3 linked regions of the Rattus norvegicus genome follow. The protein of the gene in region 1 interacts with the protein of each later gene in a pairwise test. Links are inferred from orthologs where the notes say so. Each region holds a gene or a part of one and is shown on either strand. Other genes may lie near its edges.

The links.
Region 2: the proteins of Atpaf2 (region 1) and Sorbs2 interact in binary tests that used the Homo sapiens proteins (3 or more experiments, as listed by UniProt). The two-hybrid records come from large-scale screens. The link is inferred for Rattus norvegicus from reciprocal best matches to the Homo sapiens genes ATPAF2 and SORBS2.
Region 3: the proteins of Atpaf2 (region 1) and Lzts2 interact in binary tests that used the Homo sapiens proteins (3 or more experiments, as listed by UniProt). The two-hybrid records come from large-scale screens. The link is inferred for Rattus norvegicus from reciprocal best matches to the Homo sapiens genes ATPAF2 and LZTS2.

Annotation. Positions count from the first base shown.
Region 1 is NC_086028.1:45,710,127-45,714,317, forward strand, and holds part of Atpaf2 (ATP synthase mitochondrial F1 complex assembly factor 2), read right to left. Parts: intron 3,162-4,191; exon of another isoform or gene 3,017-3,161; intron 2,799-3,016; coding exon 2,754-2,798; intron 2,587-2,753; coding exon 2,441-2,586; intron 699-2,440; coding exon 601-698; intron 1-600. UniProt on the Homo sapiens protein: Plays a role in the assembly of the F1 component of the mitochondrial ATP synthase (ATPase).
Region 2 is NC_086034.1:53,194,984-53,198,828, reverse strand, and holds part of Sorbs2 (sorbin and SH3 domain-containing protein 2), read left to right. Parts: intron 1-2,476; coding exon 2,477-2,568; intron 2,569-3,678; coding exon 3,679-3,725; intron 3,726-3,845. UniProt on the Homo sapiens protein: Adapter protein that plays a role in the assembling of signaling complexes, being a link between ABL kinases and actin cytoskeleton. Can form complex with ABL1 and CBL, thus promoting ubiquitination and degradation of ABL1.
Region 3 is NC_086019.1:253,834,754-253,838,114, reverse strand, and holds the end of Lzts2 (leucine zipper putative tumor suppressor 2), read right to left. Parts: coding exon 3,356-3,361; intron 2,896-3,355; coding exon 2,638-2,895; intron 1,769-2,637; coding exon 1,085-1,768; 3' UTR 501-1,084; downstream 1-500. UniProt on the Homo sapiens protein: Negative regulator of katanin-mediated microtubule severing and release from the centrosome. Required for central spindle formation and the completion of cytokinesis.

The DNA.
Region 1 (4,191 bases):
TTTATCAAAGGGAAGCTGAATGAACTCTATTCCCTGCAAGCCACTGTCCCTAACAAAAACAGAGTAGGCTTTCCTACTCCCTCCCTTCCAGAGTACCTATGCTAGCATCCCAAGGAATCCCTGGGGTGACTCAAAGCCCCTGAGTAAAGGGCCAACAGGCCCAGTGCTGCACAATCATTCAGATGTTCCTTTAATATCACTCTCCAACAAGCAAATAGACACAGGGGAGAATTCAGAATTGGGAGAGACCAGCCCCTGACTACTGCCACCTGTAATGACAGGGATGCTAATACATGAACACATTAAGGGCCAGATGTGCTGCTGGGGGTTGGCCAATGGGTCCTATAGTTCTGGAGCCTGTGGAAATGGCATACGTCTCTATGGCAACTCAGCTCAGTCCAAGGGGTACCCTGTGCTAGAACAGACTGAGAAGTCTTCCTCCTGTGGTTCAGTCATATCAAGTGGGCTACCTTCTTGCCCTCTTGCAAAATAATGACAAAGGCCTTGCTTTCTCCCCACCGATATGCTTTGGACAAATGAAACAAAATAGACTAAGAAGTTCACACCACCCAAGAGGACTGTTCATCTAATGCCACTTACCAGATGGTGTCCGTGTCTAGAAACTTCACAGCTGCCCGGATCAGCTGATCTTTGTTTCGCTGGGTTGGGTTGTCCAAGGATGTATTGCACAATGTGGTCTTGATAGAAAGGTAGAAAATGCTGTCACTCACCTGTGGGGTTCAGGTGTGCATACACTGGATCTGACACATCTGACAGCACAACAGAGCCATGCATTACCGCTATCATCACAGCCACAGCAGCAGCTTATCTGCTGGGGGATCTGAAAACCAGGCTCCGTCTTCAAACTCTACTGTGCTCATGGGGTTCACTAGACTCTCACAGTGGTCTTTCTTAGAGTAGGGAACTTTCTCAAAGTTTCAGGGCTTTATGTATTTTCATATTCACGACTATCAGGTTAACCTGCATAACAATGCTTTGGGGCAGATGCTACTATTCTACCTTTTACAGAAATGTGAAAATTGAGGCCCATAGAGGTAAAATACATACTCAAATACAATAAAGGCATGAAACTCAAAATAACTGAGAGCTTTACCAGCTTGTTGGACACTTCAGAAAACAAGTCAGCAGATTGAACTGGGATCAAGATATTTCCTTAGTGTTACCTCATCAATAAGAGGTTCCTAAGGCTGCTCTAGGCCTCAGTTTGTGGCCTTGTCACCCTGATTACACTAGATAGTCAAGAAATAGACTATGCTGTTAGGCCCATCTGGGTCTGCAGTGAGTATGACGAGAACACCTAGCCCCAGTACTAGCTGGTGCCTTCCTTAGAACCACATGAGGGCTGCATGCACTGTTATCATCTGACCACCCATGGCACAATAAGGTGGGCAGTACAGCGGGGACCATGGGGCTAAGGAAGGGTGACCATTCTGTAAGGCTGAGGAGGGCTTCATCCTCCTTTCCTCACCCATCTGGTGCCTGGGTCCCGTACCCCACCAATGTTCAGTGAGATTCAGGTATACTTGCAACTGGAACTACTGAGGAAAAAGACATGGCCACTACTCTTCTGTCACTAACCAAGCTATGAAAGACACAGGTAATAAACATGTAAATAGAAACAGACTGCTACAGTGGTGATGCAGCACATGATTATCTGTAATGAGAAATAAAGGCTGCACTCAGGTGAGGCTGCACACACCTTTGGTCCCAGTACTTAGGAGGCAGAGGCAGGCAGACTTCTGTGAGTTCAAGGTCAGACTGTTCTACCGAGCAAATTCCTAAACAGCCAGAACTATATAAACAAAACAAACTGTTTCAAAATAATAATAATAATGATAATGATAAAAATAAAAATAAAAATAAAATAAAGATGAGAGATGTGGCTAAGACATGGAGGGTTTGCCTAGCATTCATAAACCCTGGGCTCAACCCTCAGCACTGCATAAACAGGACATGGAGACACATGAGTCATCTCAGTACTCAGGCCGTAAAAGCACAAGTTCAAGGTCATTTGCAGCTATAAATCAAGTTTGAGGCCTGCCTAAGACACAAGACTCTGTCTCAAAAAACCAAAATCAACCAAACAACAAAGATAAAATGGGATAGGGGATGGAGGGGGAGAACTAGGAGTCATTAATGGTGACTTCTGTCCAGAGACCAGGGGAAAAACCAGTCACACACTACTCAGCCCAGTGCTCCAAGTAGAGCGAACTACAAGTGGCCAGGCCAGGCAAGGAAAGAACTTGGCCTGTTCAGTGACAGATGGTTTAAGTATGGCTGCAGGTAGGCAGATAGGAGCCTTGTCTATCCCAGAGTCTTGTCATAATATGGAAGGAACTGTATATTTTTGCCAGGAAGGCTTGGTGAGCATCAGATGGAAATTTGTATGATAAAAATTTGCTTGCTACAAGCTTGTTACCAGGTGCATGGTGTAGAACTTGATGGTATCCTGCTGGGAGTCCCATTCAGTGGCCACCGCAATAGCCAGGGCCTCGCTGGGGACGGTAAAAAGCTTGGCTTGGGGAGTTTTCAGCTTTCTGTGGTCCAGGTTTATCTCAAAGCCACCTTAAAAGATCAAATGAAAGTTCTCAGGGAATGTGGATTCGAGTGACCATATCTGTATTTGGTGCACACAAAGACAACGCTGACAAAAGTGCCACCATCATCTGGCTGGAGACAAAAAGTGTACCCCAACCATTCACAATAAGGCCATCAGATTTTCAGATACTTACCTTCACCCTGTGAGATGCTGACATTCTGATAAAACCTCTTCCTTTCTGTAAGACAGATTTTTCAAAGACAATTTAAAATAGAATCAAGAGACCTCCAAAGGCAACACCAACTCGTATCATTATTGCTAATGCTGATTGATTGGCTTCATTTTCATATCACCATCCAAGGTCTGCCCTGGTCTGCAGTATAATCAACGGCTTCTGATTAAAGCTTGGAAAAGGGAACAACCACACTCCAGGGACAAGTGAAGACCAGGACTCACTGGTTATGCCTCTCCTAGTATCCAAGCTGGGAGACGACTCTGATCAAGAGCCAGTGGAGCCTCAGACTGTGACCCGAGAACTTCCAACACCTGCTTTAGCAGCCAGTATGCCCACGCGCGCTGCCCCCAGGCCAGCACAATGGACCTGAATGGAAAGTTGGTTTGTGAATGGAATAGAACCAGAGGCTCCTTTCAGGCAGATGCCTCTGAGGAAGGAAGCCAATGTGTGCTTATGTACACATGAATGTAAATTTGTGATGTACAGGCAGAAAATAAAGCTACCAAAAACATTTCCCATCTTCTCTAATTCATTTATCTAATTAACCAGCTAGCTCGTGTATTCAACAGGAACTCCAAATACTTCCTTTAAGAAGGGCGATCTGGGGGGCTGGGGATTTAGCTCAGTGGTAGAGCACTTACCTAGGAAGCGCAAGGCCCTGGGTTCGGTCCCCAGCTCCGAAAAAAAGAACCAAAAAAAAAAAAAAGGGCGATCTGTTTTGTATATCTTTGTTAGAATTACAAGAACTTAGAGAAACTTATGTGTGCAAGGCAGGGGGAGGAAACTGGGAAGGGTCTGATAATGAATAAGACATAAAAATCTTTGTCTTCATGCACTTTAAATTTTTTATAAAGTTATCAGACCTCCAAAAGAGGCATGGAAGAGGGGAACTTGTTGGAAAAAGGGGGTATAGGGGGAAGGGAATGGAAGAATAATGGAGAAGAATATTATCACATTATCAAAGATTGGCCACTAAAGGCTCATTCATGTATCTGCCTGCTTGGTGGGTCTAGTTGGTGCACTGTTGAGAATGGTTGGGAAGTGAGGCCTTGGTGAAGGAGGTGTGATCCTGGGGTGGGCTTTGAGGTTTCAAAGCTTATGGCAGGCCCTGTCTCTGTCTCTCAAGATGTAGCTCTCAGCTACTTCTCTAGCACCAGGCCTGCCACTGTGCTTTCTACCATGATAATGGTCTAACCCTTTAAAACTATAAGCAAGCTTCCCACTAAATACCTTCTTTTGTAAGAGCTGCTTTGGTCATGATGTCTCCTCACAGCAATAGAACACCAACTAAGACAATATGTATGTATAAAATTGCAAAAGAATAATTCTAATAATTATCAGCTCTGGCCACTGAGGTAATATGACACAATTGACTATGTCATTTGAAACTATAATA
Region 2 (3,845 bases), on another chromosome or scaffold:
TTAAAAAAAAATAACAAGACAAAAACCATAATTCAATATACATATCCCTAAGATATATTTGGGCTCATTATGAATCAAAGCCAGTAGTTTCACAGACTTTTCTTTGATTTCTATATTAACATTAGAACTCTGTACTTATGACTCAAAGAAGTTCGTCCCCACGAGTTATTCCATAGCTCCCTCCATTTAAAGGACACAATTAAAAAACTTAAATAAGAAATTTTTAAAAAGGGACACAATTTGGATGGAATTATGCGAATGTATCTTTAAGACGTAGATATGATTTCTATCATTCAAGGATTTCATTTTTTTTCTTTCTATTACTTGATTTTTCTTGCTATTTCTGTTAGGATGATCTTATACCAAAATGTGGATTGGATTACGTTAAACATGAGTCTTGAGTAAGTCCATTTCCACGGTGAGCACAAAGGTTAGAAGGCAAATGGCAGTTCTAATCAGAGTTAACTGAAGTTAATATAGCTTTAAAACACTGTGCTTTGATACTTTTATCTAATTCTCAAGTGAATCTGTGTAAGACCAACATGTCATGAGGCTAGAGTAATACTCCAGACCTGGCCGGGGGCTGTCAGTGGAGAGCGTTGCACACTAGCTCTGTAGAGAGCTGTAGCCGATGCATTGAAACCAACCTAAGTCGATGGGTTCGTATGAGTGTAAGGGCTGTTTTACCATCGAGAAATGAAGGGCAAAGAGGATAAAGTTTCTCCATATGACTCAGATTACAGTAACAGCAAGAGAATTCAAAGCCCTATTAACTAAAAAATATGTGATGTAAAATATAATTTCTAATGACAAAAAAACCCAAAATTGTTAATAATAGCTGGACAATTTTACTTATTGGTATTTACCTTCACTTTAACTTATACTGTACAACATGCTGGAACACAATAAATTAAAATAAACAGGGCTGAGGAGATGGCTCAGTGGTTAAGAGTCCTTGCTTATCTTCCGGAGGGCCCAGGTTCAATTCCCAGTATGCACAACTTAGAACTGTCTATAACTCCAATCCCAGGCAAAGACTGCCATCAAAGACACTGCGCACACACATACATGCAGATAAAAGCCCACACACAAAATGATATATTACAAAAGGATAGAATAGATAGAATAATAATTTACTAATATTAATAGTATACCTTTAATTGACTTGATAAATAATAAATTTCAAATTAAAAAATTAGAATTTGAAATCACTAATTAATTAATTAATCACTAATTAAGACTGAAACAAGTTGTAATCCAATTTTTTAACTACCATCTTCAATTTTCTGATACCCTGATATATAGTACATTATCAAAACGTGAGTTAGAAGCATTGAAAAATATATTGTATGTAAATAAAAATTATCTTGATGATTTGTAGTATTCAACATATTTACATGCTAAAGTGAGAAAATGTTTTTTTAAACACTGACCCAGTTACGCAAGTAAAATTCTGTGATGCTGCCAGACTCTTTTATACCTTTAGTTACATCCCGCATGCAAATCACACAACTATGTTAGGTTAAAGAAACTGAGAGGGAGACTTGCAGTCACCATTTTTAAATGTAACTCTTTATAATTTGCTTTAGTGAGGACAAGGCCTCACTATTTCATAAGCAATTTGGAAATTTCATATGAGGCTTGTTTTAAATATATAAATATTTTACTTTCTGATTGGTTGAACACTCATGTACAAGGGAAAGTCATAAAAGATATGGAATCTTAAGGCCCAATAAGTATGTACAAACAGTCACACCCATAGACACACACATAGGCATGTACACACACATGCATATGCACGTGGATGCATCCAAACACACACATACAGGCATGTACACACACTCACACACTCACATATGCACACACATACATGCGCACACACATACATGCATACACACATACATGGATATATACACAAGCACACACTCACATGCACATACATGTGCATACATATGTACACACATACATGCATGCAAGCACAAGCACACACACACACACACACACACACTCTGGGTGGGGTATGACTGTAGTCCTGTCATGTTCATACTTTATCTTTCTTTCATCATCACCTCTTAGATTGGATTTCACAAACATTTCTTTCTAGAAATGTGTCATTTCTGCATCTCATAATAATTATATATTGGAACCAAAAAGAATAGAAATATTAACCATGAAAAATTTGGAGCATGAAAATCCCTATAACAAATCATCTACGCCAAGGATTGCAGTATAATTAATTGGCAATATAACATTTTATATATGATTAGAATACTTGTTATTTGTATATTTCTTCATTTTCAATGTGTGTGTCTTACATCATTACTTTACAGTTACGTATGAGTTTTACATCCGTGTTCTCATCAGCGACATTTCTCCATATTTGGGGGTAAAATGATTGCCACCAGGGAAAGTGGCTAGCCAGTTTCCTTTCAGTGAAGTGAAATCTCATTCCCGTTCCCCTTGTCCTTTCCAACAGATCACGAGTCCCCTAGAAGTTACTCGTCTACTCTGACTGACTTGGGAAGAAGTGTATCACGGGAACGAAGAGGAACTCCAGAAAAAGAGGTAGTAAGTTGAACAGCATTAGAGTGTTTTTAAAGGACCTTCTGAGAAAGCACTTACTAGCCAGTTAAGTACCTCAAACCTGTAAATAATTGAGCCCAAAACCAGACAGTCACAAGAGCCTAGAAGCAGTTCTGCTTAGAGGCTGAGTCTAGGGCCCACACTCCCCTCACTTCCTCTTTGGAATGCACTTTGGGCAGTGAGCCCTTTCTCAGTCTTGACCTGGTACTCATGAACGAATAGAATTCTAATCGGCTTGCTTTGTGTAGGGCAAGTGACCTATACAAGTACTTTTGTTGGAGAATTCTTCTGAAAGCAGACACAGATTTTTATCAATCAAGTTCTTGTAGCATTAAGAAGTTTTTATGCACCAGTGACTCCTGCTTCCTCACACTTAACCAGAGCTAGAATGCCTATGCCTTGGAAACCACGAGGGCTTTGACTGACAGCTCCTGGGATAGCCTTGGGACCCTTATGGAATCAGAATTTCTCCAAGTTTCTTGATGCTCACTAGAATCACAGGGGAAGAAAAATGGAGTGAAGGAATTACTGATTGGCAGGAAGGGAAGGACTGATGTCACTAACTACGTGGTACATTGTGCCTCAACTAGACTGATGGCCCAAGAGTTTGAGGGCAGGCATGGGTATTGCCTCATAACTAAAAGATAAGTCAAAGGATTCCTCAACCCTGCATTCCTATATGTTTGGCTAACCTCTTGGTAACTGGGCTATTTCCTGGATAGTCAGTATTTAGTGAAGACTATAACTTCCTTTGTGTGTTTTGTTTCTTATGACGCAGGCAGACTAGTGTCAATCCATAGAAGTTAGCTAGCCCCCCACAGCTGTCTATCTGTGTATTCAAAAATGGCACACGTAGGACAGACTGCTTCCTGGGTATTTTCTTGTATTGCAGCATTAATCTACTTTAGTTCCTAAACCGAAGCCTGATGATAAAACCAGCTATGTCCTGGTTTAGCTCAGTGCTCTGTGGGTAGCACTAAATGATACATCTGTAACTTGTGCATCTTACTTCAGTTACATGTGGTTTAGAGTCCTTATGTGAAATCTTATTTTTTTTTAAATTGGTGCGAAATGTTTGTTTACCTTTCTTTCCAGAAATTGCCTGCAAAAGCTGTCTATGATTTCAAAGCTCAGACTTCTAAGTAAGTAGAATAAAAATTCACTATGTGTTTGAACCTCATATTTACTACTGTTGTGAGGTGTGTGTGTGTGTGTGTGTGTGTGTGTGTGAATGAGTGTGTTACAAATAAGATTCAATGTTC
Region 3 (3,361 bases), on another chromosome or scaffold:
CCAGGTTCCATATACCTGTCCTATCCATTTGACCACCGAGAGCACTGCCATACTTGGGTGGCTCTGATCCACTGGGCTGTCAAAAGGGCTCTGGCCTTTCAAGATAAGCTGGATATCCAATTACAAGGTGTACTAGTGGGCAACCTAAGCCAGTTGCATTCCCTAATCCTGGAACTGCCTCCCAGTGAGGAGACAGACACTCAAGTCTGAAGCCTGTAACTGGTGTGAGGTTTTTCACGATGGACCTGGCTCACCATAATCTGAGGGGCTTAAACTGAGTCGTCAAGGTCACTGCATTCATCCCCCAGCCTCAAGCAGTGTTCAGTGCAAAGGACAGAAGGAAAGGCTTTTCTAGTTCCTCACGACTCATGGTGTCGTCCACCAGGGCCCGGGATTCCTACTGGATTAGTCCTAAGAACTCCATCACAGGTAGGTGGGTAGCCAGCAAGCAGAGGAGACAGGATGTCAAACAAATTCCCCTAGAGTTTATCCATCAAGCCTTTTTTTTTAACAAAACTTTTTTTTTTTAATTTTTTTCCCCTTTGGGTTTGTACAAGAAATTTACAGTGTGAAAAATATACAAGTGGGAACGAGGCCATAACCCTGGAACTAGGGAGGGCGGCTTGGTCACGAACACAAATAAACAAGACATTGCTGAGTTCTTCCTTTGGTCTGACTTCAGCCCCCTCAGCCCACAAGAGGCTTGCGGAGCTGGGACATGGGGATCAGCCCCATTCCTAGTCCCGCCCCTCCACGTGGGCATATTGAGGGCAGGCACATCTGGGGCAGCTGGTGCCATCTGGTTCTCTCTGGCTTCAGGCAGGTAGAATGTGGGGACAGGTTAGCCCCCTTTCCTTTCCCAGCTGGAGTGGACTGGCAGTGGCGGCGGTGGGGAGTGAAATGGCAGCGTAGGCAGGAGCCTCTGGGTGACAGTGACACTGAACTGCAGGGGGGTTGATTCTGCTTCTCCAAGTTATGGGGCCACCCGAATGCTCGGCAGAGGCCTTTTGGCTCTGAGACCTGGAGCGCTTGCTCGATGGATCCCGGTGCAGGTGGTGCGGTGGCTCGCACCCCTTGCAAAGTCCTAGATTTCAGTGGCAGTGATCTCCTCCAGACAGATGCAAGGGGCCGGCTCCGACAAGCCCAAATCAGCAAGCTCCCGGGCCTCCAGCTCTAGGCTCAGTTGCTGCAGTTCCTGCTCCAGCTGTCGGTTACGCCGGTACATCTGGACATAGTTGTGCTGCAGCTGCTTCTGGTAGCGGATCACCTGTTCCTTCTCCGCCTGCCAGGCCAGCCGCTCCCCCTCAAAGCTGTTCCGTTGTTCATCTCCCCGCCGCTGCTCCCGCTGCAGTTCTTGGCGCAACCGTTCCACCTGAGCCCGCAGGCTACCCCCTGTCCCAGCGGCTGCCCGCTGCACCTTAGCCTCATCACTCTCCGCCAGGAGGAACGGGTCGGTGGTAGCCGGGGGTACAGGGGGCTCCCGGAGTCCTGCTGCTTCAGCATCCAAATGCCTAGCCTTCTCCCGGAGCTGCTCAGCCTCCTGGCGGTACCGCTGTAGCTCCTGTGAGCAGGCCTCCAGCTCCAGCTCCCGAGCTCGGGCTGCCTCCTGCAGGCCCCGGGCACGGCCCTCACTGACCCGCAAGGCAGCCCGGGCCTCTCGAAGGGCCACCCGCAGCGCCACCAGCTCACTACCCTTCTGGACCAGCTCTGCCTGAGATTCCTTCAGTTGCTGCTTCAGAAGGGAGATCTCACCTGATTTCTGACACACCTGTAGGTGAAAAGTATTGAGGGAAGATGGTGAGGCCTCTGGGTGTTGGGCACCGGGCATTCAAGGAAATGCTGTCTCAGGAGTTTACACACAGAAGCCCAGCAGGAGAGCCTAGTGATACGTCCATGGTTATACTTCTATTAAGAGGTGAAAGGGGGGGGGGGGCTGGAGAGATGGCTCAGAGGTTAAGAGCACTGTCTGCTCTTCCAGAGGTCCTGAGTTCAATTCCCAGCAACCACATGGTGGCTCATAACCATCTATAATCAGGTCTGGTGCCCTCTTCTGGCCTGCAGGCATACATGCAGGTAGAAAGCTGTATGACTATACATAATAAATAAATGTTAAAAAAAAAAAAAAAAAGAGGTGATAGGGGAACAGAGACCCAGGTCATTTCTTTTCAGTGCTGGGATCCTTATACCAGATGCTGTATAAACAAGGCCCAGGCCTGGAGACGGAGGCTGCAGGAGTGGAAACAGAGGGATTAACAGTACCCATCTATCATAGAAGGAAACACCACTAGCTATGTGGGTGCTAGATCACAACTCTGAGAACAACAGAGGAACAGGGAAACCCCCAACACAGAAAGAATAGGAAGGACAGACCCTGGAAGGTAGCTAAACACTGGCCACACCTCTGTGTATCTTAGTGTAACCCCTTCAGCCTGCCCAGTACCCATCTTTATTTTTAATATATTTATTTTTTATGTATATCAGAACATTGTAGCTGTCTTCAGACACACCAGAAGTTTACAGATGGTTGTGAGCCACCATGTGGTTGCTGGGAATTGAACTCAGGACCTCTGGAAGAGCAGTCAGTGCTCTTAAGCGTTGAGCCATCCCTCCAGCCCACCCAGTGCCCATCTTGCATACCTCCCATTTGGTCTCCTCTAGCCGTGGCCCAAGTTCCTGCTGCTCCCTTTCAAAAGTAGCACAGCGGCGCTCCAGCTGCTCTCGCTCCTGCAGCAGCTGGGCGAAGTCATCCTGCAACTGGCGCTTCTCTTGCTGCAGCTGGAACACTTGCAGTTGTAGCAGCTGTTGAGCCCGCTGGACACGCTGTGTGGCCTGCTGTGCGTGAGAGGCACAGTCCTCTCGTTCTCCTGGCCAGCGCCGCTGCCGTGCCCCGAATGCCTAGACAAAGACAGAAGGCTAGAAACGGTTGGGTCCCCCCAAATCGTGAGTTCTAGCATCTTCTGCTTGGGTGGCTCCCTGCCTGGCCTGAATCCAGTGAATTAGGACAACCATAAAAGCAGGCACTTATATGGCATTTCCTAGGTGACAGGCATTATTCTAAGTACTTTATCCCTTTCGTCTTATTTAATCTTCATAACCCCTTTAGGGAGTAACAGCTATCCCCATTTAGACAGGGAAACTGGGGCTGGGTGAGGTTAAGCAACTTGCTCAAATCTAACATCCTACAAGCCAGTGCTGGATCCAATTCACATACCTTGCCTCCTCACTGCTTTGAAGGTTATGCTCATAGCCTTGGGGGTGTCACATCATGAGTCTTTACCCTCTTCCTCCCCAACAGGAATTGTCCCTAGGCCCTGGGTATTCAGCCACACCGCCCCAGGACTGCCACTGGCCGCACCTGACA